Lepisosteus oculatus: one gene and its partner. The protein of the gene in region 2 interacts with the protein of the main gene of each other region in a biochemical or structural test. Links are inferred from orthologs where the notes say so. Each region holds a gene or a part of one and is shown on either strand. Other genes may lie near its edges. The genes, in order: arih1 and ccne1.

Region 1 (16,636 bases), on a different chromosome or scaffold from region 2:
TGCCACTCCAGCTGCTCAGTTTCTCCTCCTGTTCTAGGGCCAGCTTCCCAGGTGCACTCAGTGAAGACAGCCTCCATTGGCACACTGGGCAGGACGCGCTCACCAATGCCTGTCATAGTGCCCAGTGCCCCTGACGTGCCAGAGACCAGCAAAATGCTGGAGGATGTTGAGAGCGTGAGTACAGTCCGTAAATATGATTTCTTTTTGTTATATACATTCTGATGCACTGCCTGGAGAGGGGCACAGCCTGGAACTGGACTGTAGGTAAGTACTGTGTAAGTGCAGAGCTAGCAGCAATCAGGATTTATGCACTCTCTAGCAAGTTGATTTGGTTAGTTGATTATGTATTAAACAATACAAACATGGCAGTTTAGCCAAATATTTTTATTTTAAAATAATTTGGTCCTTACTCCTGCATTTTAATGAATCTGGTTATTTGTTCTGGCAGAGTGTTTCTGCATTTTGTCCCAGTACTTACTGATCAACCAATTACTAGTTAGTCAATAAAGACCACCTCCAAATTTCCCCATTTCAGCACCGTCACTTGTTCTACTCTCCTCTTTATATCAATCTCTGTTTGTCAGTTATTTTTAGATTATAATTTGCAGATGTTGCTATGGGAACAAACGGATTAATCCAGAGGTGTGAAACTCATTTCCTGCAGGTCCCAGTGTCTTGTGGTTTTTGTTCCACCTGAGCTCTGTTACCTGGTTGATCAAAATGTTTAATTCACTTCATAATTTTAAAGGTACCTTTTAATGAAGTAAATGTTTAGAGTGCACAGGAGCTCAAAACAAAATATTTTACGTGCCTAGCTAAGAAAATAATTAGGTAATTGCTTAATTGACTAAAGAGTTGGAGCAAAACGCAGAAGACACTAAGCCTTCCATGAACCGAGTTTGAGACCCATGAGTTAAACTGAGTTGAGCAGGTTATTTCAGTCTTAAACCTCCAGCTAGCTAAAGCTTGTCAACAAACACGCTGTCCATGTGCCACATTCTGAATTATTTTGAATTCTTTTAGTTTTGGAAAGGTTGCAGGGTAGTGTTGTATTTTTAAACAGTTTCTTACAGTCTACTGCATCTCTACTATCAGGCATATGATTTAGGCTTAGTTGCAGTTTGTTCCTTACCAGTAAATGTAATTTTGTTTTGCTTTGTAGGTGTAAGTTTTATTTTTGGAAATGGCTGTTAGACTTTTTTCCACCAAAGAAGTCAAGACTCAGTTTTGGTTCTAATTATTTTTTTTTATTTTTATCTCCCTTCTCTTCTTCTCTGTCTGTTTTTGTTCCTCCCCTCTTGTTTTTTCTCTGCTCATTTCTTCAATCACCATCGGCTGCCTTCTTGTCGGTCTCCGTTTCCCTTTTTTTAATACCTCGTTTGACTTGTGTTTTGTTGTTTTGCTTTCTGCGCATCTTTGTAACATCACGCTTCCTGATGCTGTGGCAATGGTCGCCTCTGGCTGTGTTAATGTTCCCGCCTTTTTTAAATTCTGTATTGGCCTTGCGCTGCAGTCCCATTGACCAACTCCACCCCCATCCCCGGCAGTAACCCTGTTCCTTTCCTTTAGAACTACGAGGCGGATGAACTGTCCGAGGAAATGGCCCACCTAGAGGGTTTGATGAAGGACCTCAATGCCATCACCACAGCCTGAGCGAAATGGAATGTCTCAATATTCCCTGAATGGAGCAGAAAAAAAGGATTTGCAAAACTTCAAAAAATAAAAAAAACTGAAACTCTTGGCTCACCTCACTTACTCTCAGGAAGGAGATGGCCGTTTTAAAAGAGACAGCTCACGTTTTTAAGAAGAACAAAGATTTTCAGTACAAACAGCAATTAGCTGATGGAAGTTTCATTTTTATCAGCGGAAACGGGCTTTTTTTTTCCTTCGGTTACCATGGAGACCGTTATTCGGACAGACACCATTTTGTAACTCTAAGAAAAAGGAAAAAATAAAGAAGTATGCCGGTTTTTGTCTTGGTGCTCTTGGGCACAGGTCTACAGTGTTTGGACATTGCGTTAGTGTGTCATTGTGCGTTTTCATGAATCACCCTTTTCATATGAGGTGGACACGGGACATCCCTCGCTCTTTATTTCCATTTTGTATCCAGCGTTCAGAGCGAATGATGTGCCCGTTTCCCTGTTCTGTGTTATATATTGTGCCACATTACTATTATTTTCTATTATTGTTTCTTTTTATTTTTTATATATATATAGTTTATATATATAAACTGCCTCATTCTCTCTCCATCGTTGACGTGTTCCTGGATGTGAGCGTGAAACACTAAGATATCTCGTAGCTCATGAAGCTTCTGTCCAGTGGGGGAATGTTGTGTATTTTTAATTTTATTCTATTTTATTTGCATTGTTATGTCAAGAAACTATTTCCCTCCCCCCATTGTAAATTAGATCTGTTTTGTATGGGAGTCCCCATTCAAAGACTTATCTCCATGGTCCTGACTTGTCATTCTTATTATTTCATGAAGAGCAACAGCCTTCAGTAGCTTTGTACAGTAATTTCAAGAACTGCGATTCCATTTAATTCATTTCTAAAGCTAACTTTTGTTCTGAAGGTGATATTGATCATTTCAGTTAATTATGGATGCTGTTATACCCTAGGGCAGTATTAGCCTCTAGTTTTGCCTGGGGTCTCCCTCTTCTTTTGTTCATATCAACCTTTCCTCATTTAAAAAAAAAAAGCACTGGTCCCTAAAATCTATGGGTGGGGTACCCCAATTTCAAGGCATCCTGGGTCAGCAGATCTTCCAAAGGGTCAGCAAGTGCTCATAAGGGCCAGACTGCTTACTGGAGGAGAGTGTTGACTGACATTCGAATGCTTCTAATTTGGGAAGAGGAAGATTTGTGGAACTGGTCTGGAGAAGAGCTGTGTAATGTAGATGACAGTAGGTGTTGATTGTGAGGCCAAGGAGAGAATTGACTTGAAAAATCACAGACCCGGAGAGTCAGCTTTCCTTCAGGAGGAACAAAGCGTGTGTTCCACTAAAGCAGGAGAGATCTTTCCTGAGTCAGCACTAGCTGGAAAGTGTCCTAGATAACATCAGTTATAGAACACACTTTCTTTTGTTTTCAGATACCTGTGACCCATTCCAAAACTGGAAGAACTCAGGACACAAACCTTTTCAATAATTTCTAACATTTATGGGGAAGGCAGTAATTTACTAATTTGGAACTGCTATTTTTTAATAAAAAAATGCAAAGGGTGTTGCCTTTTGAATGGGACTTCCAGACAATGGTTTTTCGGCTTCATTTGCTTTTTATATGAAGAAACACAATTAGTTCTGTAAACAACTGAAATGTAAAATAATTCGTGTTCATGTTTTAAACTTGTTTTCCTCCACCCTTCTACCCAAAGAATGTCATTGAAATCATAATACTAGTCTACTTTTGTGAATATCATGTTTCTCATAATGTACATCCTCATGAATGTTAATATAACTGTAAGAAAATTTACTTATGGATACAAAATGTTAGAAATGTTGTTCAAAGCTGAGCAAAAAAAAAAAGAAAAGGACCCGTCGGGGAATTGAACTATTAAGTTGTAGACAGTCAAACCTGTATTGCACTTTTTTCACAATTTTCAAAAAACATTTTCTTACATATCCTGTGTTTTAAATATAAAGCTATGTTTTGTGTACCTGTAGTGTCATAGGTTAGCAGTTGGCAGCTGTTATTTTTTTTTATTTTTGCCTCTGAAATGAATTGGAGCTGCAAGTTTTATTAAGATGTAGGAGATGAGAAGAACCCTACTGTTGCTTCTTTCTGTACAAAGACCTTTGCTTTCTGTAGAATAATCTGTGGCTTTTTTAAAAAACAAAACGGGAAAAAGCAAAAAAAAAACTTCCATGTTCTTATTTTGTATTGGTGCTCCAATACATTTTATATCCAACCATTACGAGTCAAAAAATACAGTTTGTTGTGTATATTTTACATCTACTTTGGATACTTGGATTAATTTTTCTTTCTTTGTTACTAAATCTTTTTAAAAAAAGGCAAACTTTCCAGCTGGCCTTTCTAGAAGTCATGGTTTCTGGTGAAACTACTCCTGGTTACTGTAGCTCCTGCCACCCACACAGCAGAGTCAAAACTCTTAGGAAATGCAAATATGATCATTCCTATATCCTGTGTGTACCTTCCTGAAGAGTTCTCAAATCACAAAGCATATGAGAATAAATCACTTAACATACGTAAGCCATCCCAAGGGTATCACTTTAGAGAGAAGATCTGAGACTGTAGTTCTGGTTTTTTAAGAGATTCCCCAGATTACTTTGAGAGGCTGATTTCCTTTAGCAGCATCCAGTTTCTTTTTCGGAAGCTGTTACTCCTGTCATAATAGCCAACAACAATCCGGGACAGCTCGGCAATAAGCAAGACGCAAAGAAAACACAATGGGTGTGGAATGGAAATGAATTAGCTGGGAACAGCAAATGATGTCACCTGCCCCCCATTGTATCTCTGCACACAACACACTGTGAGGCACCCACTGCGTGTTGTTTTGGGGATATTGCTGGTTTGAGAGTTCTCCCCGTGGCGAGATGGCCAGTGGCTGTCGTGATCAGTGACACCAGGAGGAAAAGCTTTGGCCATGCGTGGTGGAAGAGGGGGTGGGAGAGGAGTCAGCAGAGGGGGTCTCTCCATCGAGGTGAAATTTATGAGACTAGAAATGTGTCAACAACAGGAAGAGACGGCCCAAGCTGAGCTACGTCCTGCGGCATTCCAAGTGCAGTGCCAAACAAGTTTTTTGGAGGAGAAAGAAATATCTGAAAAGAGGTTTGAGAAGGTAAGGTGAAACGGTAATGTGGATGATTCTGATGAAGGAGAAATTAGGGGGCACAAGGGGCTGTTAGAAAAATCGGAAAATTAATTGAACTGCAAGCCAAGTTACAGATGATCAACAGCCTTGTTCGCATTTACATATAGTAATCCTGAGGAAAGGGCTGTGAAGGGTGTACTCGTTTCCTATTATACTCGTATCCTATACTTCCTATTGATTCTTCATGTCAAACAAAATCCCTCTCGGATCCCAAGCGGGCAGCGTGGGACAGGGTTTGCTTCATCCTGGGCCATTTGACACTGGGTTATAGAGCAATGAGAACCTCTTACACATAGCTCACCTTTTTGTTACACAATATAAGGTATTTACGTCAAAACTCGCATCAAAATCATGCTTTGAAATAAATTCATCCAGAGTTTAAGCCAAACCAGGGTGAAGCCCCGTTGAATATTGTCAGGGAGTCGGCTCCTACTGGGTGCTTGTTGATGTACTTTATTTTTATATTTTTCAGTAATCCTGAACACAAACAGCTAAGGCAGCGTGTTCTTTTTATGAGACAATGACAAGATTCTGGCCATAGGGTGGTGGTGTCTGCATTAAATAAGGAAAGTGCTGGACAAAGGAAATGATGGTTTACAAACAAAACTTAATGAGAGAAAAATATATATTTCTATTTGACAGTTTAGTGTAGGCTTTCTCTTCTGCAGAGCTTGGACTCCTTATCCATAAGTCCTATTATGCTGGATAAATGATCCCCTCATATGAAGTTCCTCTGGTGTAAATGTGGCTTACTGCTGCACTGCATATCAATGTTTCATCATTAACCATAAGGTTACTGTCAAGGCTAATATAGGACTTTACAAGTCATTTACTATTCCCCCTGGGAAATGTAAGCAGAACTGAACTGAAAGATAATGGGCTGTTATAGGTCTCCAATGTTTCTCTCTCCACAAAAGATATGCCATAAAAATAACTAGCTATTCTGCAGATTTATGTTTGTAATAAAGTTTCATACATAATAAAAGATGAAAGTCATAATAGAGAACAATGATTATGCAATCATACAACATGCATATTTGTTAATGCAAACTAAAATTACATCGTGAAATGATATTTCCTGTAACACAGAGGAAATATATCTCGTTAGTAACTGACTTGATGAGTGCGAGTAGGCAGCGTGTTCTGATTCATTAAAGTATGTCTAATACTGTTTGACACTTTACCATCAAAGTTATTTTCTTGCTAGTGTAAAAATATGTATTTCCTATTTTAGCTTTAGAGTGTGGAACTGAATCATTGTATTACATGTCAAATATAATATTAGAGAGGACGACACCGGGGCGCAGTGTTGGGGCCCTGGGTTTCATCCCAGACTTGGGGTGCTATCTGCCCGGGGTTTCTATGTTCTTCCTGTGTTTGTCGGTTTCCTCTGGGTGCTCTGCTTTCCTCCCACCGTGCAAAAACATACTTGTAGTTAATTAGTGTGTGGGAAAAATGGGCCGCAGTGTGAGTGTATGTCTGTGCATTTCCTGATGCGATGAACTGTTGTCCCATCCAGAGCTAATCCCTTCTTGTTCCTGTTGCTTGCCAGGATAGGCTCTGGCTCCACCGTGACCCTGTAATGGATCAAGCAGTTAGAAAATGGATGATTCAATACAACTGTTTACTGCATAAAAGTATAAATTTTTGGTTTACGTCTGAGCATTCGTGTTGGAATACAAAAAAAGGCCGGTATCCACCATCCCCAATGAACATGAATAAACAGTGCGTTTTTAAAAACAATGGCATATCCCTCTGAACGCCAATAGAGGAAATGCCAGCACAGGCCTTGTGAAACAATGTCTGTCTGTCTCTTGGCCAGGTCGCCAAACTAAATGACAATTTGATCTCAACTACGTAACTTGTGTATTGAAATAAAAGATTCCTAGGCTGTGTGTTCTTTCTTTGCTCTTTAAACCACCCCAATGGTGTAACGTGCCTTGTAGACATAGAACGAGGCTTGACTTGCAAGCCCAGTATAAAGTATCGAAATCAATACACAAATGACTTTATCTATCTTGAATTAAGAGAGAAAATATGTCATTCTGGCAGTATTTCGTAAATGATCAAACAGATGTTTATCAGATTTTTTACGTGATTTCAAATGAAAGAGCCAAAAATATCACCTAGGGTAATGTATAAAGAAATAACAGAACTCGGAGGAGCACCGCAGTTTAAAATTTACCACACCTGACTGAAATCCCTACAAAAACAGAATGTTAAAAAGGTCTAAGCCAGTTTAATCACTCATCAGAGACACCTATGGAATGACCCAAAAGCAGTCCTAAACGAACCAGAATAGAAATAACAGCGAAATATGCACTCGACAATAAATCATTTGTTACTCTTACTAGGGCAGTGTCAAGGGTCCCTGGCGTGAATCCCAGACTGAAACTTTTCAAAATTATTCTTATATACTCGGGAATTCTTTCGCTTTAAACCTTGCCATTTCAATCACCTATAGCTAGAAAAGAAAGATTTGTAATGCGTTGTAAGAAATCTAAAATTACTTTAAAAACAATCTCAACTGGGATCTTCAAGAAGGGCGAATATAAAGGAGGCTACAACTGTTCCAGTGAGCTATTTATGTTTGCAAGAATATTGTTACCCAGGTGACTAAGGACATCCTTAAGAAATCTTGTTAAAATTTAATCTAATTTAAACTGATTGTGTAGCAACTAAATAAAATTATTCTATTAATGTTTGAGCTATAGACTGGATTTTTCTCCCTGTTTGCGTTTTGTTTTAAGACACTATGCACATTATTTACAACTCCTCTGGTCTACTTTTATATGCGTCTCCACGCATAGCAGATTTCTTCCTGGTCTTTTACATCTTTATAGATGCCACCCGGGTTCTTAATTCTTCAAAAACATCGAGGAAAACACATGAGCCCGTAAAATGGGGAGCAAGCGCCAGTGCACTCTTGGGAGAAATGGGAGATCTGATAAAAAAAAAAAGTGTGAATCTAGACGAACAAAAATACTAAATGAATTTGTGATTAATCCGTCCAATGAAAGTCCTTCGTCAATGTGCTTTTCCACCTTTTCACAGCCTTCCCGTCTTTTGCCACACTCAATATGGCTAGGATTGCATTTCGAAATCTCCAACATGGCGGTTATCCCTGACCAACATACACTTTTCTATATGTATATATATATTTTTTTTATTCTTTCAACTGACTTTATTTACACTCAACAAAAAAAGCAGGCAGGTCCTCTCGGCCGCTCTGTGACGCGCTGTCGACGTCAGTTCGTGACGCCGCGTCCCTTTGTTGGCTCAGCAGTGGCGGCGCTTGTGTTGTTATTTTCTCTGCGGCTGAAATTTTTTAAGTCTGTATGAATTTTTTCCTGGTGCCGTTGTGTCTCACGTTGTAAATAATATCTCTGTCGAGCCCCCTTTGGACCTTTCGCTTGTCTCAACCCGGCGTGAACATAGTAATGGACTCGGACGAGGGTTACAATTATGAGTACGACGACGAGGAGGAGGAATGCAGCGAAGACAGCGCCGAAGAGGAGCCCGAAGACGACACCCTGGAGCTCGGGGAGGTGGAGCTGGTCGATCCCGCGGAGGCCGGCGGCGAGCGGGACGTGTGCGGGGAGACCGGGGGCAGCGGCCTGGGGCCGGGCCAAGACGAGGAGGACTACCGCTTCGAGGTGCTGACCGCCGAGCAGATCCTCCAGCACATGGTGGAGTGCATTAGGGAGGTCAACGAGGTCATCCAGGTGAGGTGTTTCGAGGCGAGCCGGCTGCAGGAAAGGCCGGGGATGCGGGGAAAGCGGTAGGCCGGAGATGGCCGGATGAGACGGCAGCAGTTAGCTTGGGTCTGTTTGCAGGTGGGGAGGGACTGCGACAGAGCACGGCCCCCCCACTGGAATAGCATTGCGCGAAGGCCTGTTTGGAAACGGTTAGTTTAAAGGGGGGGTGAACCAAAATAAAAAAGCGTGGGGTTTTCAGAGTAAGTAGGGTAACTTTTATCAGGGCGGTGCTCATTCCCAGACGAGAGCTTACTTATCTCGCCGTAGAAGGCGGGCGACAACGGGGGTTTTCGGGGACGGGGGTTTATTTTTGCCGGTTCGGGATATCGGCGTGAAAAGAGGGTAAGAGGGGGTTTTCACTGATGCTGTCCACCTGCATGATGATTATTCTCCTTAGGCCCGACAACAACATGGCGGAGAGCTGCTGCCTCTCCTGTTGATAAAGAACTCGGCTGAGAGTGTTGACAATGTATAGTTTAATTCGAAACTGTCAGCCCTGTTTGCAGCCCTGTTTTAATGAGATGGGGGCTCGTTTTCAGTGGACGGTAGTGACGGCAGCGGGTGGGAAAGTCGTTCAGACGGCGGTCCCATTTTACAGTTCCGTGCCGCACAGCGCCTGCTTAGCCAAATAAAACTTATGCTAAGCAAACACCGCTCGACTTTAAGGTCCTTGTCTGGTGGCCGTACGGTCATATTGGTCGAGGATTGTTAAAGCGACTTCTTTTATTAAGGAAAGGTGCTGACTCGGGGATTTCATTTGATCCCGGGCCAGAAAGCCCTTTCCTCCTCTGGTACAATTTAAGCGGCGGCTGTACTGATTTTCTGGGATTGACCACAAGGAAGACCGTTGTTGCTGAAGTTTTGTTCAAATTATTTATCGTCATTTTTTTCCTCCATATTTTAGTAAAGCATGTAGGCTCCGGCAGTATGCAGGCACTATGCACAATGCGGCCAGGAATCAAGATTACCTAAAGTGCAAAAGAATGAAATATATGTTCACTAAAAGGGTTGTTCATTTTACCCTTTAGTTATTTTATCAGGATCAAGTAATATGCATCTTAATTGTTCCTAAGTCCTGAAATATGTAAAAAAAAAATCAACCTTTAGCTTTCTGGACAATACATTTCCATAGTAAATCTGTAGTCTGTAGCCAGCAGCCATATCGCCCTGCAACTCACAACTGGCAGCCCACTGAAGCTCAGCAGGTGTGAGCCTGGTCAGTACCTGGATGGGAAGACCTCCTGGGAAAAACTAAGGCTGCTGCTGGAAGAGGTGTTAGTGGAGCCAGCAGGGGGCGCTCACCCTGCGGTCCATGTGGGTCCTAATGCCCCAGTATAGTGACTGGGACACTGTACTGTAAACGGGTGCCGTCCTTCAGATAAGATGTAAAACCGAGGTCCTGACTTGACTCTCTGTGGTCATTAAAACTCCCAGGGCGTTTCTCGAAAAGAGTAGGGGTGTAACCCCGGTGTCCTGGCCAAATTTCCCATTGGCCCTTACCAGTCATGCCCTCCTAATAATCCCCATCTATGAATTGGCTTCATTACTCTGCTCTCCTCCCCACTGAGAGCTGGTGTGTGGGGAGAGTACTGGCGCACTATGGCTGCCGTTGCATCATCCAGTTGGGGCTGCACACTGGTGGTGGTGGTGGAGGGGATCCCCATTACCTGTAAAGAGCTTTGAGTGGGGTGTCCAGAAAAGCGCTATATAAGCGTAAGCAATTATTATTATTATTATCTGAAAGTTGAGATGTCTTATTATGGTCAAGTGGACCAGTCTAAAACAAATCATTTTTCTGACTAATGCATCTTCTTTACAGAAATACGTTTAGAAAATTCCATCCTGTAAAGCTTGAATGTACATTTTTAAAATTACATTTTAGTCAGAAAAATATTTAGAAGTTTTAAATACCCTTTTTACACCTACATCCTTTGACAATCATCTGGTTTATGAGTTACCTGCTGTTGTATGAGCAGCAGCCACTTATGAATGATTAATAATAATAATCATTGCATACACTTATATAGCGCTTTTCTGGACACTCCACTCAAAGTGATTTACAGGTAATGGGGATCCCCTCCACCACCCCCAGTGTGCAGCCCCAACTGGATTTGTTTTTTGCTTCGACAGCTACTCTGTAAAGAGTTTAAATCTGAAAATAATGGCTTAAAGTATTCATGATGGAATGGATTATAATTCCAGTTTCAGATTTCAGATTAAAGTCCTGTTTCAGTTTTTTAAACTCAACAGGAGACAAACCGATGAGCAGATGCACACATGCTGCCAACTAAGCCACACTGTGCCCTTTATACCATCAGAATTCAGCAAAGTTCTCTAGGGGCAGAGCTTTACTATAATCTGTAGTTATATACTGCTTTATTTCCAGCGCGTTCAAGTTCCAGTATTCATATAAATTTGTTTGTTCATTGCAGAAGCTTTGACTCAAGATAACTCTCACGCTGTACACTGTGTAAAGCTAGCCTTTTTTCTTTTATTTGTTTCATTTTAAAGCTAGTTTGGTGTGCAGATTGTTTTTCTAACGTGTTTGTCATTTAGAAGACTTATTCATAAAGGAATCGCAGTGTGCACCCAGCATATATTGATAGCATTTTCAGTGTTTAGAAATGCAGGACTTCTTTTCATTCCATGTGCCCAGGCGGTTTGGTTCTGCTCTCCGTTGTTCTGGTGATGTGGCTTTTAATATTTCTAAATGATCTTTTGCATGACCCTTGGGCTCTGGTGGAGACAGGAATAAAAGGTATCTTACCTCCGTTTAATAAGCTTCAGGTGATGAATGTCCACAAAAGTGGAGCTACTGAGGGGGAAAGGCTGGTATAGTCTGTTATCCATGCGAGTATTGGATTCATTAGACGCATTGCCATCTTATAGTTTGTTTGTAATCTGTAGCAGCCCTGTAAGTAAACATTTTTTTCCTGTTCAAGAATTAACTGCTTTATGCTATCAAAATTAGAAAAACATTGACCGTGTTGTAGAGGTGGAAAAATAATTTAACAAAAGTACAATTAAGTTGTTTTTTAAAATATGCTTTGTCACTTACAACTGTAAATCAGACCTCCTTTGTAATACTGTCCTGTATTAATAAGTTTTGGCTTCCACACCCTTGGCACAGACATGGGGCCTCAGAGAGAAGGGATTGTGAATTTTGAGTGGGTGTTGACGAGCAAACATCTTCTCTTCCCTGCCATGGCATGTAGGGATAGGGTATAGTAAACACTCCCTGTTTTGTATGGGGAAGTAAATGGAGGAGGCCCTCTGGAACTCAGCAGGTGGTTCAAATTCACTTTGCCTGTCTTTAAATGCAGGAATTGCACCTAGTTCTGTTTTTGAAAGTCTTTAAATGTGCCTGCCAAGAATAGTTAGTAGTTGACAAACAAGGCTTTTGTGCAAGGTTTCAAATATCATGTATTTTTCCTTTTTTGACTTTTTTTTGCTAACTTTTATTGATTTTTTTTTTTCATTCGTTTGAAGTATTTTTTTTCACGTTCTGTTGTGCTGCCAAGGGGTTTGAGCAGAGCTGCAGAAATTAAACTTCTTAGAGCTAGACTACAACTTAAATGTTTTAACAAGACTGTTGGCATCAATGAGCTAAACACATGGAAAAGGTGACTCATTTGTGAGAATCCCTTAGGATAAGGTTACAGTCAGGCCAAAGAACGGATTGGAATAGTTCCAAAAGGTATTTTGTGCTATTCACCTTTTTTTAATGATCTTGACGTATTCTGCACACATTTTAGTAGGGTGCATATATTTGAGTGATAGTAGCACCTGCAGTAAAGTGCTAGATTGGAGCAGCTGTGGAATTCCCTTTTGTTCCTTTGTGTTAGGGATGCTGTCTTTAGATTGTATGTATTAGTGCTGGCTTCCTGGCACATACTCTCCCCTGCAGTTAGTGTAAAAGAAAACATACCTGAAGCTGTGACCCTGTTTCATGTCCTCATTTGACTTTATGACCTGCTTTATTTTTTTGTCAGATTCCTTTTTCTTTATTGATAATTGCTGCAATTGCATGTGGTGCTGCTGCGAGTGATGAATGTCTGTGGCATTACGAAATGGTTGTCCTTAAATCTAAATATAGTACTTGGTATATCCCAAGGTCCTGTTTGTTACGTCTCACTGTCACATCTGTGCAAAAGGGTTTTCTACACCGTGCACCTAGAACCCCACAGGTGTCTTGCTGGTGTTTGGTGTTTTAAGGCGCTAGAGAGAAGGTCAGAAGTTGACACTGCCCGTCATCCACTTTACCATCAGCTGGAAGAGGTGTTTACTGTATCAACAATTGTCTAATCCAGCTAATGGCAATCTTCTTAGTTTAACAGAAAAACGAATCCATTGAACGATAACCTTTCAGATTTTTGGTTTAATTTTTCTTTCATAGATAAAGATTGTTCTGTAAATATAATTTTAAGACGTCATACAAGGTTAAGATATTAGGCTGCCACTTGGTGTTATGGTTATCTTGGCAGCCTCAGCTCTTGAGACCTTGGTTAATGTCTGGATTTGTTACCTTTTCTATAGAGTTTACATGTTCTCCATGCGTTAACATGGATTTTCACCAGTTCCAGTGGCTTTTTCCCATCTTCAGAATAAATGATGGGTAGCTTGATAGGTTTTTTCACATTTTCCTTGTGTGTGTGTCCAATGATACTTAGTATCTGTTAGCAACAGATAGCATCCTGTTCAGGGTATAATCCTGCATACCAGGGTAGTCTGTTTTGGAATGGAATGAACAGCTTTTTCAAACTATTTGAATGGATGTTAAGGTTTTCAGCAGTGTACCCTGACAAGGAATGCAATGTGTGTTAAAATAGTAAATGAAAATTCCCAGTCTTTCTAATGTCAGCGTGCAGCATCTTAAAAAAAAATGAAATGTGAATAGTATCCATCTTTGCATAATTTAGAAAGCAAAATCCATTTGTTCCTTCTGTTTAAGCAACGTTTAACAGTCGAAAGCTGTAGATAGTAATACAAAATGTCATATGATATTGTACTCCCAACATTTCATAAAATTACCAGCCCTGTGGCTTTTTTGCAAGAAGGTGTCGTCTAAATCTTTTATTATTCTTAAACATAAATCCACTATGCTCTCTTTGTGTAGTACACTATCAACTGTTGAGGTGTCTTTGTTGTCTCTATAGTTACATTTTTGGAGGCTGACTGTCATTTATTGGGTTGAAATGGATTTCTGCCTAGAAGTTGGCAAGCTTTTAGGGATCGTTATGGTTTTGATCTTATACAAAGATCTGCTAAAAACAGCCTTTTATCATACAGTATTGTCTGAATTGTTAAATATTGCCCTCTTTTCACATGATTTATTCTCTTGAAATAAAAATCCCGAAAGAATGTTGCAAGTTAATTTCTTTATGTATATTTTCAAATGATCATCACATGCTCTCTTGTTTTTAATGGGAGATGCTAACAGTTGGCTTGATGTGACCTCAGCTAATGAATGTAATTGGATGATTCAATACTCCTTTCCTTCTGATTTGGAATTTGTACTGACAATTTTCCTCTATTTTAGCAGTCCCTAATATTTTTTGCTTTGGATACAATGGATAAATTCTGCTAAAGGGGAATTATGTCTGTAAAATGGGAAGTATTAGACTTGCTGTGCAATAACGATGAAATACACAAATAACAGAACAAAGTTAAATCTTACACAGGTTTGAGATTTAGGAATAGTAATGGTGCCCTATAGAGGTAGATCAGTTCCTTATAATAAGTTTGTTTTGTTTGCTTTAGCAAATTATTTGCAGTGTATTTTAAACACATGAAACAGCTTGTATGTTTGAGAGAAAAGGCATATAAACAGTTTTCATTGACTGTTAATTGCAATTGTTAAAAGTCAAAAGGTCCATTAAGCATGTGTAGTATATATGTTTTAGTGCTTTTGGGCATATAATTTGTGACTTAGTGGACACCACTTTTCCCCTGTTAATTCAATAAAGCAAGAGTTTACTATATAAAAGGATATTTTCAGACTTTTATTGCAAATAAATAAAGATGTAGATCTTACTTTTGCTTTAGTTCACTAATTAGATTTCTTTAAAAATGCATTGTGTAATATTTTGCTTTCCACATTAAAGTGCAGAAATTCTGAGTCTAAGATTTTTGGTAATTTAATTTTTATAGTGGTAAATTTTAGGCAAAGTATCATAGTAGTTGTATCGTAGGCAAACACATGCACATAAAAATGTCAGCCTGACGTGCACAGTCTTTTTGAAATAAGAATAGTTTTTGCAAATCTTTTTCATTAACATTATGTTGTAAATGGTAGACCTAGTATACTGCTTTGTGTTTGAGAATCATAATGTTTTTCAGATGAAGTAAAAATTTCAGAGGGGGGAATCATTAGGTAAGATCACTTTATTGGCCATATACAATTTCTTGTGTTAGGAATTTCTTTTTGCATAACCCAGCTTGCTCTCCATGAGACACACAGACCGGAGAGAAGCTTGGGGTCAGAGCACAGGGTCAGCCATTTATACGGCACCCCTGGAGCAGTTGGGGTTAAGGGCCTTACTCAGGGGCCCAATGGAGTAGGATTCCTCTGCCGGCTGCGGGATACGAACCGGCAACCTTCCAGCCACAGGCGCAGATCCTGAGCCACAGAGCCACCCCACCGCCCTTAGTGTACAGTGAATCATTGAAGTTTGAAGTGATTGCTTGGTTTTGAGAATTACATTAAGAATGTTGACCTGTTTTTGAAGGAGTCTTTCACATGTTCTAAACTTGCTTCATAAATGCCTTGTTGGTGCATGATCACATTTTATTTCTATCAGTTTTAATATCATGGTATCTCTTTAAATGTGCCCTAGGATGATTCTGTATCGTGTTTAAGAATATGAGAACTATACTAATTACTAAGATGTGGATCATTTTGTTTAGTTTAGCCAAGCGTGGATTTTGTTTTTAGGTATACACTAGGGGTTAATCAAGAAATCCTAATGCTATTTGGAAATTTTTAAACAGAGATGTGAACAGTATACAGTAATCGCAAGTCCATTGTTTTAAAATATCCTAATTTTAATATATTAAATATAATTTAAATATCCTAAACTTGGCGAGCAATAGTACTTTGTCTTCACAGTCTTCATTACATCCCAATTTAGTTCAATTTACCACTGAAATAGAAGTCAGAAGTTTGAAAAGCTTAAAAAAAGATATTTAATCATAGGTCACCACTGTTAGAGGAACTGTTTATGTATTCTTACATCATAGAAGAAATGTTATCCAAGAGCTTGTGTAAACCTTTCCTTGCAATCAAATGATTCAAGTATCAATAAGAGTAAGAATAAGAGGAACTTATTTTTCAAATATATACTGTTAGAAAGCCAGATGTGTCAATTATCAGAAACCACAGTTTATGATTGAGACAAATAAGTGTTAAGTCTGCAGAAATGCAAAAAACTACAGTCATCTGGTACGTATTTAAAGAGCGGTAGTGAGATTTTTAGAAGCATTTGGTTTTACTGTGTTGACACCTTTTGTGTAAAAATCATTGCTGAAGTCAAACTGTCATGTTTATTTTTAAGATTCTTTTGTTCTCTGGTGTTTCAGTATTGTTCAACAAAACCTTTGGTTAAAGTGGAGTAATTAAATTCACTATGTGCTCATAACCTTTTAAATGTTTTGTTTATTGGTTCATACTGGTACTAATTGCAAATGTGTTTTTGAGCTAGAATGTGTTCATAGCTATAGTTAGTGCAGTATAATATAAGAGTATAGGTTTATATACTTTTACTTCCATATTGTGGAATTACACAGACAAGCCAAGGAAATGTGAAATAAGTATCCATTTATTTCATGTCTGGATTTTCACATAATCTCTTTGCCAATACACAAGAGCAAAGGCTGATTTGTGTTTCTGCTTTCTAGAATCCTGCAACTATAACAAGAATACTTCTTAGCCACTTCAACTGGGACAAAGAGAAGCTGATGGAAAGGCAAGTAAATCAGACTCTTTTAATTTTTTGTGATCTCTTATTTAGGATCTGTCAGAGCAGTAGTGACCAATACATGACCCAGGA
Region 2 (15,888 bases):
TTTGTTCATCTTTCCCATGAATTTCCTGACCCTTTCTGGATCGACACTGTTGGCCCAAAATCCTCCTTTCTTAAAGTATGAGCCAATGATCATTGCACTTGCTTCAAGGTAGTGCTCCACATTCTCATGGGTCACCCCAGAGCCAATCAGAACTGGGATTCTTACTGCTCGTCTGACCTCTGCAAAATAAAGGGTGAGGTAGCTTTGTTATCTCTCTGGAGCACAAATAAATGGCATTGTTTCCATCTATACAGCACTTCATGGCCAATTACATTTGCCTATTGTGTTATCTTGCAATTAAATATCTTATTATTGCAATACTTTCCAATTCCACTTCTAATTTTCTTATTTCAAAGGCTTGAACTAATTAAACTAATTTCACCAGTTTCTGAAATGTTTTATCCCACTTGTTCTATTAGGTTAAATATAACAGCCTGGAGTAAATGCACTTGGACAGACAGAATAAGGAGCAAAGGTTGAATTTAAACCTAGTAAATTAAGACAAGCTTCACGGATGCCAGAGTGGTCAATTCAGAGTAAGCTTGTCTTTCAATCGCAGGATTCTGAATGAAGACTGACAGTTTAAAAAATGATTTTGCTACCGAGTGTCGGACACACAAAATCCATAATTTTACTTCTACCGTTGCACAACTTATACTTAAACAACAATGAGATGTATCTCATGAAACTGGCATTACGTGTGAAAATGAATATTGCCTGTGCCAGAAACCACACTTACAGTGCAGTATTAATTTCTCTATATTAATGGCCAGTACACAGCTATTTTTAGTCTTGAACACTTGAGCATAGTCTAAAGCAAAGATTACAAGGGAAGTGATACAAGTAATTAAAATATTCAAAGACACTGACTCTATGTGGAACTGCATTTAAAATCAAGAACAGGAGCCACTTCTTTACTCAAAGCATTTTGGTAGTATTGAAAAAGCTATCCAGACATTCCATTGAAGCTGGTACTCTGGCTTCTTTCAAGTAAAGGCTGGATACGTACCTTGGATCAGCCTTTACTTGAAAGAACCTTGTACTGGTTGTACAATGGACAAGATGGGCCTAATGCCTTCTCATCATGTCCTGTACAAACTCCTCATTTTAAGATATACATTTTACCTGGATGGGGCCTTTTAAATACATGACAAAAAAAATGATAATTTATCGAAGGGAAATTCTTAAACAATTTTGAAAACTGAAAATTTAATAGCCTTAACCCTGTTAACACCGTTACCACAATTTACCATCTGCAGCTTACATGTTTATTCAAATACAGTACAGAATACAAAATATGTTCAGAATACACTCACTAATTGGAAGATGGCACTGTGTAGTTTATATTAAAATCATATTTATACTGTAATGAACAAGAGAAATAACAAAAACAGCTGCTTGCCACTCAAATGAAGAAGCATTTGTGCTTGTTTTCGTTAATAAACTGGCACACGGAGGTCTCCTCTGAAATGCTCGGCAGCAGAGACATGCTGTAGGTAGGCAGAGTTCCAAGCAAGACGAAGGATAATGTGGCAGTCTGGGTCGGTCATGTTGTGTTTACCACCTTCAGCACAAATCAGCCATCTGGAACGTTATTTAAAAATAGACCAAAAGGTGGTGGCTATATTAGTAAAGCAAGCTTATGTCAGACAGAATGCATGCCCTTCACAAGAGATATCATTCAGGAGACTGGAATGCATTCGTTCCCAGGCGGCCCTGCTCTTTATAAGGCGTACAGATCCCACAGGCACCAGTAGCATTTAATATGATTTAACCTCTGAACCAGGGCAAACCTGATCACAATAATAAAACAGACTAGGAAATCCTCCATGAAGCAGACAAAAAAGGCTTTCCTTTGCATAGCACTAACAAAGATCAATTCATGTAAATTGATCTGTCAATTCTTACCAATATTATATAAGATTTTTAATCCATCTATGTCTAAAAAGGGAGCCAGTCAGTGTACATGTAATGAGAAGCATACATAATAAATAATGGTAAATACAAAGGCAGATAAAATATACTTTGTGACCTTTTCCCATAGCCTGCTGCAAGAAGTGTGAACAAACTCATTATACCAATTGTATTTGACTATTTATTATTACAAATAAATGAAGCTGTACTTTACAATATTTAGCAATGGAGATACTAAGAAGATCCATTTTCTGTTTTTCTTGTATTTTATTTATAGCTGCTAGTTATGAAATATGTTCGGTTACTCACGCAGTGATGTGGAAAAAAAAAGTACACCCCCTTACAGTTCTCTTTATATATTAAGACATAACTGACTTTCACCTAGTCCTCACAAAGTCCTGAAAGTAGATAAATCTAACCCCATGTGACAGATAACAGAAATTTGATTTTGTCATTATTTATTAAACAAAACAATCAGCCAACATTCAGTAGCCATGTGTGAAAAGGTTTGTACACCATGTGATTCATTAATGTATGGAACCACCTTTAACAACAATTACTTGAAGTAAATGTTTCCTGTAAGAGTTTATCCGTCTCTCACATCAACTGAAATAAATTATGGTGCACTCCTCCTTACAAAACTGCTTCAGATCGGTGATGTTGGAGGGCATGTGTTTATGCACAGCTCTCTTTAAGTCCCGCCACAGCATCTCAATGACGTTGAGGTCCTGATTCTTTTCATTTTCAGTAAAAGATTTACTGGTGCATTTTAGATCATTGTCCTGTTGCATAGTCCACTTTTGGATAAGCATAAGCTGTTGGATAGATGGTCTTACATTGTCCTCTAGAATGCGCTGGTATAGAGAGGAATTCATGGTGGACTCAATGACTGTGAGGTGTCCAGGACCTACAGCTGCAAAGCAGGCCCAGATCATCACCATGCTTGACTGTGGGTATGAGGTTCTTGTGGCGATACGTAGTGTTTGGTTTTCGCCAAACGTCATTTTGCATTACGGCCAAACTCCACTTGGGTTATGTCTGTCTAGAGGACATTGTTCCAGAAGTCTTATAGTTCATTCAGGTGCTGTTTTGCAAACATAAGCCATCAGCAGTGTTCTTTTTTAGATAGAAGGGGCTTTCTCCTGGCTATCCTTCCATGAAATCCGTTCTTGTTCTACATTTTCCTAAAGGTAGAATCATAAACTCTAATGTTTACCGTATTGAGAGGCCAGTTGTTCCCTGGATGTAGCTTTGGGGTTCTTTCCGATTTCTAGGAGCCTCATGTGGTCTGATCTTGGTGTGAATTTACTGGGACACCCACTCCTGGACAACAGTCTTAAACTTTCTCCATTTGTAAATTATTGTTCTCACTGAGGAATGGTGGACTTCATATTGTTTGGAAATGGCTTTATAACCCTTCCCAGACTGATAAACAGCAACAATTCTCTCTCTGAGGCCATCACAGATATCTTTTGACCCAGGCATTATATGCTACCACAAACCTGAATGCTCCAGATTAAACTTTTGTTTAAAAAAATAATAAAGTTTCTGACTTTATATACGGAGGAAGTGCTTTCTGATGATAAGCTAATCATGTGTACTTGTTTAGTAGCACCTTATTTTAATTATCTCCTTAACTGGCATGGAAGCAGTAAAGGTGCACGTACGTTTTCCACAAGTTATCTGTCATATGACATTAGATTGATCTACTGTTAGGACTTGGTGAGGTCTAGGTGAAGGTCAGATATGTCTGAATATGTAAAACCATAGAATCTTAAGAGGGTGTACTTTCTTTTTCACATCACTGACTAGTTGTTAGTAAACTGACACCTCATCTTCTGAGAGGACTTTTCCCCAAACTGAATGGGACAAAGTTAAATGAAGGAATGTATGAATTCCATGACAACATTATGGTCAGCACCGCCACTCCAGGAAATGAGCAAACTGTCCACTTAGATCCTGCAGCAGGCACCGTCGAGGTGTCGCTCTCTCTCGCCCAGGAGGGCTTCACAGGGCGGGGAAGTCTGACCTTCCAAGGCAGGACAGGAAACTCCAAACCAGGGTGATCCAGTCGGAGGGCTCTCCAGGAGACGGGCTGATTCAGGGGACACACGCCCTTAAAAAGGGGGGATCTCCTCCAAACACCAGGCCAGGCAGAGTCTCCTGGCAAACTGTCATCTGGGGAAGAGCCCGGAAGTGGACGGGACCAGTTTCCCAGGTGCCATATGGACCGGGCCAGCAGAGGCATATGCTAAGGTCGGGTCCCTGCTAAAGACTCAACCCCCAGTTCCAGTGCTCCAGGCAGCACAGCCGTGGGCAAAAGACGGAGCTCAGGCAGAGCCTGAGGAAACTGGGAAGAAGGAATAGGAAGGGCTCCGTTGGGAAACTGGAACGGTGGTTTAAAAGTGAGGTATAAACGTCAATGGCGAATCGCAGAGGAGAGACTGAATACAGTTTAAATACCTGCTGCAGTTTACCTCTCACTGAAGCAGGTATTCCTGCTCTGCATCAGTCTCTCTACGGCGATCAAGGCAGATCGAAGGCATAGCAGCCTACCACTGAGCTGCGACACGAGCATAACAAACAAAACATAACATTAACAGAAGACAACATTCAACCCACGACACTTATTGTGGCTGTCAGAAGTCTATTGATCATATCAAATCAAGGAATGGGCTTCAGGAGGCCCTGCCACTTGGGATAACTTTTGAGCAGGACTCACCTCTGAGGTCTTCAGGGTCGGCTTGTATACCTGTGGCTGTTCCAGTCAGGATGACGCCATCAGAGAGGAAGAACTCAGCAGCTTTGGCCGTTTCAGCCACACTGACATCAGACGTCAGGGCATGAGAGCTGAAATTAAATTATACTATTTAATAACATATGAGTTGCTACAACTTCTAAATTTGGCACCTCTTATGTCTACATAAGTATTTATCCATCCATCCATACATTATCTAACTGTTTTCATCCAATGCTGGGTCACAGGGATGCCAGAGCCTATCCCAGCATGCAAGGGGTGCAAGACGGGAAACGCCCCACCCTGGTTGGGTTGCCAGTCCATTACAGGGCAAACAGGCACAAACACACACACTGACAACAAGGCCAAATTCCTAAGAAACTAGTTTACCTTCTAGTATGATTCTAGACTAAGGGAGTCAACTGTGACACCAGGAGAAAACCCACACAAACAGGGGAGGAACATGACAAAAATCCACACAGATAGCAGCCCAGGTCCAGAATTGAACCCAGGGCACCAGCACTGAGAAGCAACAATGCAAACCACTGTACCCTGCTGCCCTAAGTATTTATTTTTAACATTATAAGAATTACTACACAGCAAAGTACCCTTGAAGAAAACTGTTTTTTTCACTGAACAAGCATAGTGCATCTTGGGGCATTCACAGTAGTACTATTTAAATTGGAAGTGTAACACAACTGAATACTTTTCTATAACTATGAGGTCATGAGTAAAACGCTTTGTGCAGTCAGTGGACAGTTATCTTACCTGTGTTTTTTCTTTATATCAGTGAAAATTTGGATGTGCTCAGCTCCTATTTGTTTGCGGTACCTTAACAGGTCACCAGCACATGCGTTTAAAAGTCCTTCATCTGCTACATGTGAGAAGACAAATCCTTCTGCGCGTATGAAATCAAGGCCTTATCAAGAAGAAAAAAAGAAACACTCACTCGGATGTGTTCTTTGTAGACACTATTTAAAATAACACTAAAGTTGTGTAATCAGCAACAGTTCACTAAAGTGTAAGCTACTCATATTTAGTTTGCAAAAAACAACAGTAAGATTACATTATATCAAGAATTTCCAGCGTTGCAATCCACACCTGAAAATTCCCTCAAGTCTCATGCAAGGTAAAAAACATTAAGCAGTTAAATAACATTACCTGATGCCAGAGCTACTGCTAAAGCTTCCCGGTTAGCTGCAGTTAGGATCTGGGCTCCAATGGGAAGGGTTGGACATGTCTGCCTCACTGCAGTACAGACTGCTGTCATAGTAGCATAGACCTCTGGTCCAGCAGTTGTTGTATAGGGAAGATCATGCATGTTTTCAATAATGAGTCCATCCTGTGAAATGCACAATTTCACTGTCATTGTTATTTAAATGCTATGGCCTAGTTAGGGCCTTTGTCTCGTAATTATAAACCGTATCCACAGTATGCAACACTGTGCCCATTAAAGCTCTTGTTTGGAGAGAAAACTCTCGTCACCCTGCTAAAGCACCGAATAAAAATAAATTGCATTTGAGCAGTTTTAAACTCCACTTTGTCATCCTACACAAGGAGTCAATCTTTCAGAAGGAACTAGAACAACTTGTTGGTAATCTAACTGCAATATCTAACTGCGATTGAATTAGTGTAGGACTAACTCTGCAGTCACTGCATTGTACTCAAATGTACCCCCAATCGCAGCCTCCACTATACCAAACAATCTCGACAGATAAAGCGACCAAAGTAAATCTTACATAACGATTCTTACAATGCCTGCATCGCTGTACAGCTCTGCTTCACGACATGCTGCTTCTGTTATTTCAGCAACTGCAAGATTGTTCAGCGGAGTACCTGAAAAATCAAGTTACACGATACCACAAATCAGTCTCCTTACATTTTAAACATCTACACCTGATGCAAAAAAAACAAGTTACAGTTTTAACCTGGTAGAGCCTTTACGTGAACCATGCCGATGACAATGGATTTTAAGCGTCCAAAAAGATTTAAAAACTTCATGTTTGACTTATTTTTGGTCAAACTTTGTTTTCTGTCACGTGACGGGTCAAAGTTTATGCGCCTCGTATTTTATTCAAATTAAGTGCAGTGCAATATTAGCGTGCAAAAACGAATAAATAAAAATACAAACTACACGATAGCATGCAAAATACACCCCTTTATAAAACAATTTTTGAAACCTATTATAAACTTTTGGCTATACAGTAGTGTTGTTTTATCGAGCGGTCAAATACAGTAAGGGCGCCACCTAATCCATCGTCACTTGGCTTGCACCCACTGCGCGGCACACAAGACTCCCCCCAGTTTTTGGCCTAATTCTCCCTCTCTCCGTCATGACAACCCGGACGATCGAACAAAGACGACAGGGGGCCCCGAAACGGATCACACCCCGCATCCAGCTCCACAGACCTCCGTGTATTTTCGAAGCTGGCTCGATTTGTTTACATCTTGCCGCGCCGAGCCATGCGGCGCTTTCCCGCAGTTCCGCATCGGGACTCCACCCCGCCCGGAGCGGTCCCCGCCTCCTCCCCCGCCATCCCGCCCCCTTTTCATTTTTGCCGGCGAAATAAATCATAAAAATAAACGCAGCTCGCCTAATAAATTGTTGGGGTTCGGGGCTTGAGTATTTTTTGGCGGCTCGACGTCAGAGAGCCGGACCGCGGCGGACGAGGGTACAGCCTGTGCCAGGTGGCGGGGTCGGCGTTGCGCGCCAGGTTTTTAAATGACCCGCTCAGCCACCCCCTTCTCCCGGCAGACAGGCGAGAGCAGCAGCTTATAAGCTCAGGCGCAAAACGCATCGCGCCAGCTCAGGACAGGCAGCTACCCAAGAGGAACACGTCTGAAGCGGGTAGCCTAAAAACAAAGGGCCAGAATTAAACCACTTCGATGAAACGCCACGAAAAATGATTAGCGTTTCTCAATGAACTGAGAGCAATAGTTGGATTCTTTTCCCCCCATTATTTTACTTTAAATACCCCATATTAAGAAGGGGGCATCTTTAAGGTAAGAACTGAATCATGGGAAGTCGATAGCACCGGTACAGAGTTTTTAAAGTTTGTTTTTAGAAGTTGTATTTTTCATAACAGCTGATCTAAAGTGGATGTTCCGAAGCTTGAGGTTGTATATTGTACATAAAGCGGTGAAAATTGGGTGTAGCTTGTTAAAAAAAGGATAGAGAGCGCGTTTTTAAAAACGAGGGATTTCCTAAATAGCTCGGCCATTTTATGTCTGGTTGAGCCAAGCGACCACGGAATCAAGAGTATTTTTATACTTTTTACAATTACTGTAAGCCATCCGATCTTTCAGGATTCAAAATATGATTTTTCAGCTTTCGATGTGTGTAAAAATGTAACCATTGCGTAGTTAAATCGAATTGTTCTTGTTACCTAAACGTTGTGCCCCTCTTCCATTCCCCGCGCTAAAGAAACTTGGCGTCTGAGCTTTTGTGAATGAGGTTTTGTGGGGGGTTGGGAGTAAGTTTCAGAACATTTTATATTCAGTTTTAACCAATTTTGTCTTTTCAGAGTGGCATTCTCGGCTTAACGAATTCCCCAAAGGATATCATGCCAAGAAAAAAGTAAGATTTTATTTGTTTTGGGCATTATTATACAACGATTAAAACGTCTATGTCCTAATGATATAGGGAGCAGTGTGTTCCAACAGTCGATATGGATTAAAATGTAATGCATTGGTATACAAATATTATTTTAATTATTTTTCAGCCTGAAGACCGGGCTGCAGACGGAGGCAAACGATGAAGTAACCAAAGAGAGGAGCACAACGCGTTCCAGGAAAAGGAAGGCAGACGTTGCAATTGTAAGTGGAACTGCACCCAGAGATCCCTGCGTTTCATTTAGTGATGTTAAGACTTATCTAAGTTTTTTTTTTATTTATCAGCATTTGCAGGATCCAGATGAAGAGGTCATCGAAATGACAAACAAGAAACAGTATGACACCCAGGTACTGTATGCATAGTCATTTTATGTGTTGGGTACATTGGTATTGGGCCCAGGCTAGCATACATTATTTTTCCTGATTTGTTTCAAAATGTAGTCTTTTTTAAAAAAAAAAGGTTTGTCTTAAAAGTTTTAGTTCTTTATAGCCCTTTTTGATATAATCCCAAGGTGAAATCATTTCAAGGGTGTTCTTTATTGCACTTTTAATAAGTGCTGCATTGTGAAATGTACTCTTTTTTTTCCAGAGGTGGTTAGTATTAATTCTGATATTCATTCAGCTCTTCTCTCCCATGTCCCCCCTCCAAAAAGAACATGCATAAGTCCTAAAGATAAATGTGTGCTCTGGTGGCAAAGCTAAAATATTTATGAAATGATTCAAAGGAGATGCTAAAAAATAGGTTCCCTCCATTCCTTGTCAATGTCGGATGAGAGCTGTGTGAAGTTGGCATTTTTTCTTGCTTAGTTAAAAGAAACAGCAGGCTAAAGGGGGTTTATTTGAGTATTGTATTCTTTTTTTCACTTATTGATCTGCCTTTTTTTCTTTTCTCTCCTCAGACTAGTTGGAATCCTGCCACAGGTTGCACAAGTCCATGCAGGCTGATTTGCACACCTGACAAAGAAGTAGATGAACCAGTTGCATTGAATGATGTCGGCTGTGCACAATATATGTTTAAAAATATCTTCATCACTCCTACAAGATCCTCCCCTCTCCCTGTCCTCTGGTGCGTCTCCATCCTGTAGTTCTTTTTTGTGTAGTTTGTAAATATTTTTTGTGTGGAGTAATTGGACAATTCTTATTTTTTTTTTCTATTCAGCTGGGCTAACAAAGATGATGTTTGGAATAACCTTCTACAGAAAGACAAAGTATATGTGCGTGACAATCGCTTTATGGAGAGGCATCCACACTTGCAACCAAAAATGAGAGCCATACTTCTTGATTGGCTAATGGAGGTGAATAAATTGATTTTTCTCTAGATTTTAAAGTCCTTGCGTTGAATATCCAAAGTGCCTGCACTTGCATTTGTTCATACAGCTGCATGTTTTACTGAAGTAATAGAGGTGACATGCCTTGCTCAGTGTTACAACTGCAGTTTCTCACCTGGTATTTAAACCCAAAACCATCCAGTTACAAGTCCAGAACCATAATTGTGGCTGCCTATTAATTTGGGTGGGGAGTAATGAGGTGAAACGTGTTTTGTCTTCAGAGATTACTATTATCAGGTATCGTGATGTGATTATAGTTCTGGACCTTACCTAGCCCTTAGATTGACTAGCTTTTTTTAAAACAGTTGATGCGAGATCATACAAAGGATAAATGTGAATTGGGCTTTTGAGTTCTTAACTAAGCCTAAGTGAAAATAGAGGTATTTAACTTTTGTCTTCCCTCATTCTACAGGTATGTGAGGTATACAAGCTACACAGAGAGACCTTTTACTTGGCACAAGACTTCTTTGACCGTTTTATGGCAACACAAATGAACGTTGTAAAAACAAGACTGCAACTTATTGGCATTTCCTCACTGTTTATTGCTGCAAAGCTGGAGGTAATTTTTTATGTTGGCATTTTGTAGTTTGTGCTCTTGTACATCTATTTCTGTCTTCACACTTCCTTCTCATGGTGACGTCTAATGATCTTCAGTGGTTACGAAAGGCATGTGATTTTTTTTCCCCAACTTTCCCTGTAGGAAATCTACCCTCCTAAACTGCACCAGTTTGCCTACGTTACTGATGGCGCTTGTACAGAGGATGAAATTCTGGATATGGAGCTGATTATAATGAAGGTACTTGAGCTGTAAGAATTTATTGCATATTTAATAAACAGCCACTCAATTTAAAATGATAGCAAGTCCCAGTTTTTCTGGCAGCACCTGTCCTGCGTGCGCGTGGAGAATTAGGGCCTGCAGATATTCTTTTCCGACGTGCCCACCTGTTGGGGGCCATTCATCTTTTGTGTTCTGATAAAGCCACTCCAGAGCCCTTTTCTTTCCTTGAGAGGAGGAAAATAAGCAAAAATTAACACTTTTAGATTAATGCTATCCTCTTGAATAGTCACTTTTTGCATTGCCTTTTTTTTCCAAAGAATATTTGAAATGTAGTTTGTTCTCACACTGACTGGTCCTTCGTTTTTCAGGAGCTGAAGTGGAGTTTGAGCCCTTTGACAGCCATGTCCTGGCTCAACATATATATGCAAGTAGCATATTTAAAGGAAAGCAGCGAGATGTTAATTCCACAATATCCCCAAACAACATTTGTACAAATTGCAGAGGTAAGATTTTAAATATGGGTATGAAAAATCCTCCTCACTTTCTAGTATGGGAGTGGGGGGGTCATTGCTGCTTTGCTCTATTTTCATAATCTAGTTCTTGGTTTTAAAGCAACATTTGCACCCTTTTACAAAGAGGAGGTCTGAGGTTCATAAAATACTTTTTCCCACGTGATCATGAGTATATGATGCCTTTCTCTGTTAACTGTCCATTAAGGGAGAACTGTAATACAGGTACATCAATGACATTAGCATGGGCAGTACTCCCTGTGCTCATGTTGGGTGCCCAGGAGAAGGATTCATCTTTTGTGATTCAAATTTGTTACCATAAATTTGAAAGGATCCAAATGAGAGGTGGTCATTCAGCACGCATAGACTGTTTGAGAGTTAATTCAAGGATTTCATCCAGCCGTTTCTTGAAAGAAGCCATGGTATCGGCCGCAACAATGCAGATGGGTAGCTTTTTCAACACTTCCACAGGCCTTTGTGCCTCCTGCTCTTGGTTGTAAACTCGTTTCCACTTGTGGCCTCGGGGCTGGTGAAAACGAACCAGTAGACTTCTTCATGCTTGATTTGTTGGTCTCTTGGAGGATTTAATATAATATTGGGACCTACCGGAATGTACCTCGTCACCTGCCACTGGCTGAGATAGAATTAATGGAATTTGTTTCCAGCTTTAACATCAGATGAATTATTTTCACACCCAAAGTAAATGCAGTAAAATTTTGCCTTGATTTCTTTTGCCAAGATTTTCCCTTGGTTTTTTTTAGCTGTTGGACCTGTGTGCACTGGATGTCCGATGCCTGGAGTTCTCGTATGGGGTGCTGGCTGCATCTGCCTTGTTTCACTTCTCTTCAGTTGAACTAGTGCAGAAGGTTTCAGGTACAGAAACTGAATTAATTTGCTGAATAAATGTGCTCACAGTGTAGCACTGTGGTGGGAGGCCAGAGTATTTACTACCACACCTTTTGGGTTCTGGGTCTTATTCTGGCGTGGAGATTTGCAAATTATCTCTCTGGCTATGTGGTTTTTGCTCCGCTTTCCTGCTACAATGATGTCAAGGTTCTGTACATATATGTAATGGTGCACTAAGCATTTACAGATGTAACATCCGTTTAATGAAAATTAGATTAGAATTCTCCTATCAGGGAACATCTTGTCTTTTGGTGTAATAGTTCATCACTGTCTAGGTTGTGGGACGGTGTGTGTTCAGAGCTTGTGAAAGACAATGTTCTAATTCTGGCAGGGACAGAGCACAGCTCCACATGGCTTATTTGAGCTCTGTCAAAGACTGCCATTCTGTCTTGGGTATATCTTGCCTCACAACCTTTGTCTGCTGGGTTAGGCTCATCACAGCCATGCATTGGGACTAAGTGCTTATTAAAAATGGGTGGCTTATTGGTTAATGACATTCTTTTTTCCTTGCAGGTTACCAGTTGCAAGACCTCGAGCCGTGTGTGAAGTGGATGGTTCCCTTTGCTATGTCCATTAGGGAAGTGGGCAGCTCGGAACTGAAGAAGTTCAAAGGAATAGCAGCAGATGACCTGCACAACATCCAGACACATGCTGCTTTTCTGGAGTGGCTGGTAAGCTCCCACAGAAATATTTTCACAGATACATACTAATAGTTGCAGACCTACAAATCTTCAGACCAGTCATTGCTAAAACCCACCATTGGATTATCTGCTTTTAGACGGCCCACTTACTTGGGTTTTACCTTTCTCATTTTCAGGAGAAAGCGTATGCTTACGAGGCTATGGGTTTGGATCAGAACCAGCGGTCTCCAGTGCCTTTGAGTGTTCTTACCCCACCTCCAAGCAGTGAGAAGACGGGGGTTTCTGAATCCTGAGTCATCAAGGATCTTGAGTTGATGAATGAGGAAGATAAATTCACTGAGCAACGTTCCTGGAGAGATGTAATGATTTCAGGCATTACTGAAAAACTCATTTTAATGTCTGCTTGAGCATGGGCACAGGTTTGTGTGTGAAGTTAAAAAGGCCCTTTTTAGTCTCAAGTGGAATTTTTAAAATCGGCATTTTAATGGACGTGGTACCAGGTTAACCACCTGACAAATATTTAGAGCTACACTTCTTGCTCTGATTGCTGCTAGAGAAGGTGGGACTTGGACCGTTCGGTGATTTTGACAGACTTTTTTTGCATGGCCCATACTGTTTTTCACTGCTTGATTGGGTCCATTGGGACCAAATGTGCCATTCAGGGGACCAGAGGAAAAACCAGCTTGATAAGCAAAATGCATTGAAATTGTAAGGTATTATGCCTCTTATTTGTAATTTTTCAGAGTATCGGTTTACCAAATTTTTTTTAACAATGAAATGCTGCTACCTTGTATATCACTTTTAAATAAAGGTGCTGTCTCAGACAGTTTTATATTGTGAACTCTTTGAATTTGATTTGTTCATTGTGACACTCCTGTATTTCTCATCTTCTAGACTTTATGACTTCAATGCCAAAATGTTTTAAATTTATTGCAAATATGGGAATGGAGAAGGTCAGGGTTTTGCACTGCATGAATACGGTTATCTTCATTACACAGTGAAGGCACTGCACTCTCTCTCTCGCCTCCCCAGCTCACTGGGGCTGGTAGCTGAAGATTGATAAGGAAGGGGAAGGTTTCATGTACTGGCCTCCCACTGATAATGCTCTTGCACTTTCTAACAATGGCATGGTAGTCTTGTCATCTTGAATGTAGAGTACTCTGCATTCCCTTCAGCCCTTTTATTTTCCTTGGTCAGTGTTGTCATCCTGAAGCCCTCTTGAGACAGCTTTTCAGTGGATTCCCACTAGTGTTGGCTTTTTTTTTTATATAACTGGATATGTACAAAACATGAGCTTCTGTGGAAGGGGCAGGTACCTCTACCAGAGTATTTTAATTTCTGGTTTTAAGAGAAAATAGTTCTGATGTAGAAAGTGGCATCACTACAGACCAAGAAAAATATTTGATTTTTTTTTTTATTTTAAAGCAGAGGTTGTATGGGGAGCTATGCCAAAGTTTGGGCTGCAATAAATGAAGTTCGAGCTATTCTGAAAAAGCAAAAGTAGAGCCTTCCTCAGCTCCCTAGCCTAACTGGATAATTTACTTTCTTTCATACTTTGAAAGGGAATTAACCTTTGCCTGTTCCACAACTAAAGTGGCCCTGTACATTTCATAAAGTCTTTATTTCAAGCTTCTTGAAGATGCACAAAGATATCTAGATAATTAAAGTATATTTCCTTAATGAAAATCTAATTTGATATAAAAATACAGGGAAGTACAAAAAAGCTTTAAAATATGACCTGTGAGGGGAATTAAAATGGTGTATTTTCTCCTCTATAATGGCTGTCTATAACACAGTGCCCTCTGGATGCTGTAGGTTCTCGGATAGCACAAACATTACAGTGATCCACTAGATGTCACCAGTTGCGTGGCTTAAAGATGTGCATATTTATAAGGCTCCCGGCATGCAAGTAAGTATGATTTCCTTAACAGATGCTCCTGAGACAAGGGTAATTCATTACATTAAACTTTGGCTAACACAGCCGTTTCATAATTTGGCTAGCTCCTACATTTTGTCGCTGAAATTCTGCTGTTTACAAGCTGCCATCAGCCGTCATCTAAGGTGTTTTTCAAATGAATATTTTAATTGATTTCTTCCATTTCTCAATATTTCAAATACTGCATAGCCTTGTAAGGAATAAAGGAAGTTTGAGGATTTTAAGGTTTTTCATTTTGCAATATTCCAAAAATTCATGACAGAGCTACTTAGATGGTGAAGGTTTCATGATTACAATATGATGAGCAGTTATTGTAAAATCGCATATTTAATTACAATTAATTTTTCTGTATGTGTCAAGAGTACCACAATACCTGAAAATAATGTGAGTGATAACCAAACTTTTAAAGTAAATCATATATTTATATACCGGAATATTACAGTGCTTAATGTTGTTGCTGATAATATATATTATGGGTTTAAAGTCTTTCCACATCACTCTATTTAATTCAATGCTGAAATTATGCAGCACAATGTCTTTTAAGCAGCCTATTCGCCTATCAGTGTGAGGAGGCTCCCCCGTCAGCCCTGCTCCTGGAGCTGTGAGGCCCCAGTCAGGCAGCAGCAGCATGACAGCTGTTGTGTGTTCAATAGCTCCTTTGTTCTCTGCGCAGACTGTGCTGGCAGCAGCAGGTGCCCATTGGGCTGGAGCACAACCAGCCACCATTAGCTACACCTGATCAAATGAAGACCCAACAACTGCTATGCAAATCACCTGAATATGGCCAGACAAAAGAGTCAGCTACAAAATTCTGAAATAGCCATTTTATACTGTGGTGCGATTTCCTATCTTAATAGCTGTTAGTTGGTTTCAGTTTTTCCACATGATTATAAATCTGAAATATATTCAGGCTTTGACTATTAAAAAATGTGAATTGCAGCAAGAGTGCCTCGTTTCTCATTTTTTCTATTTGTTAAGAGCATAATTGAAGTCCATTTCGATCACTTGAATTATGGGTAGTTGCATATATTACTTATATACATGCTTATGTTCTAAAGTAACTTAAATATGTGCATTTTTAGTAATCTCAGTAACTGCTAAGGCAGCAGTGTGGTGTGTTCAGGGTTCTGTCCTTGCAACAGGAAAGTACTGGGCTCAAAGTTAATGTGTTGCACTGCTGTTATACCTTTGAATGAGTTATTTAATTCAGATTGCTACATCAGTGATTTAGCTGTATAAATGTAAGTTATTTGGATAAAAACACCTGCAAAATGCATTAATAAAAGTTGACAGCGATTGAGATACAGATTGCTCAAGAGCAATGTAGTTCTAATTTGATCAACATCTCAAGCCATGATTCTCATAGTGTTATGGTAAATATAATCTAGTGTTACATCAAAACTATAAAGGATTTTAGTTTCCTTTACTGATGTACATTAATACCAACTTGGACAGGGACAATAGTAACCACAATGTGAAATTAAACCTAACATGCAATATGCATTCCGTATTTCATTTTCAACTAAT

Evidence for each region.
Region 1: of the proteins of ccne1 (region 2) and arih1, one has a biochemical effect on the other in vitro, tested with the Homo sapiens proteins (3 studies listed by BioGRID). The link is inferred for Lepisosteus oculatus from reciprocal best matches to the Homo sapiens genes CCNE1 and ARIH1.

Annotation. Positions count from the first base shown.
Region 1 is NC_090700.1:59,710,746-59,727,381, forward strand, and holds the start of arih1 (E3 ubiquitin-protein ligase arih1), read left to right. Parts: upstream 1-8,066; 5' UTR 8,067-8,270; coding exon 8,271-8,555; intron 8,556-16,484; coding exon 16,485-16,552; intron 16,553-16,636. Other genes in the region: neogenin, read left to right, coding at 38-174, 1,570-1,653. UniProt on the Homo sapiens protein: E3 ubiquitin-protein ligase, which catalyzes ubiquitination of target proteins together with ubiquitin-conjugating enzyme E2 UBE2L3.
Region 2 is NC_090715.1:5,975,406-5,991,293, reverse strand, and holds ccne1 (G1/S-specific cyclin-E1), read left to right. Parts: upstream 1-7,279; 5' UTR 7,280-7,654; intron 7,655-8,175; 5' UTR 8,176-8,214; coding exon 8,215-8,228; intron 8,229-8,373; coding exon 8,374-8,467; intron 8,468-8,548; coding exon 8,549-8,611; intron 8,612-9,162; coding exon 9,163-9,329; intron 9,330-9,422; coding exon 9,423-9,558; intron 9,559-10,003; coding exon 10,004-10,150; intron 10,151-10,291; coding exon 10,292-10,387; intron 10,388-10,737; coding exon 10,738-10,872; intron 10,873-11,639; coding exon 11,640-11,751; intron 11,752-12,297; coding exon 12,298-12,455; intron 12,456-12,601; coding exon 12,602-12,718; 3' UTR 12,719-13,266; downstream 13,267-15,888. Other genes in the region: uncharacterized protein F13E9.13, mitochondrial, read right to left, coding at 1-179, 4,637-4,764, 5,420-5,570, 5,813-5,993, 6,405-6,487, 6,580-6,652. UniProt on the Homo sapiens protein: Essential for the control of the cell cycle at the G1/S (start) transition.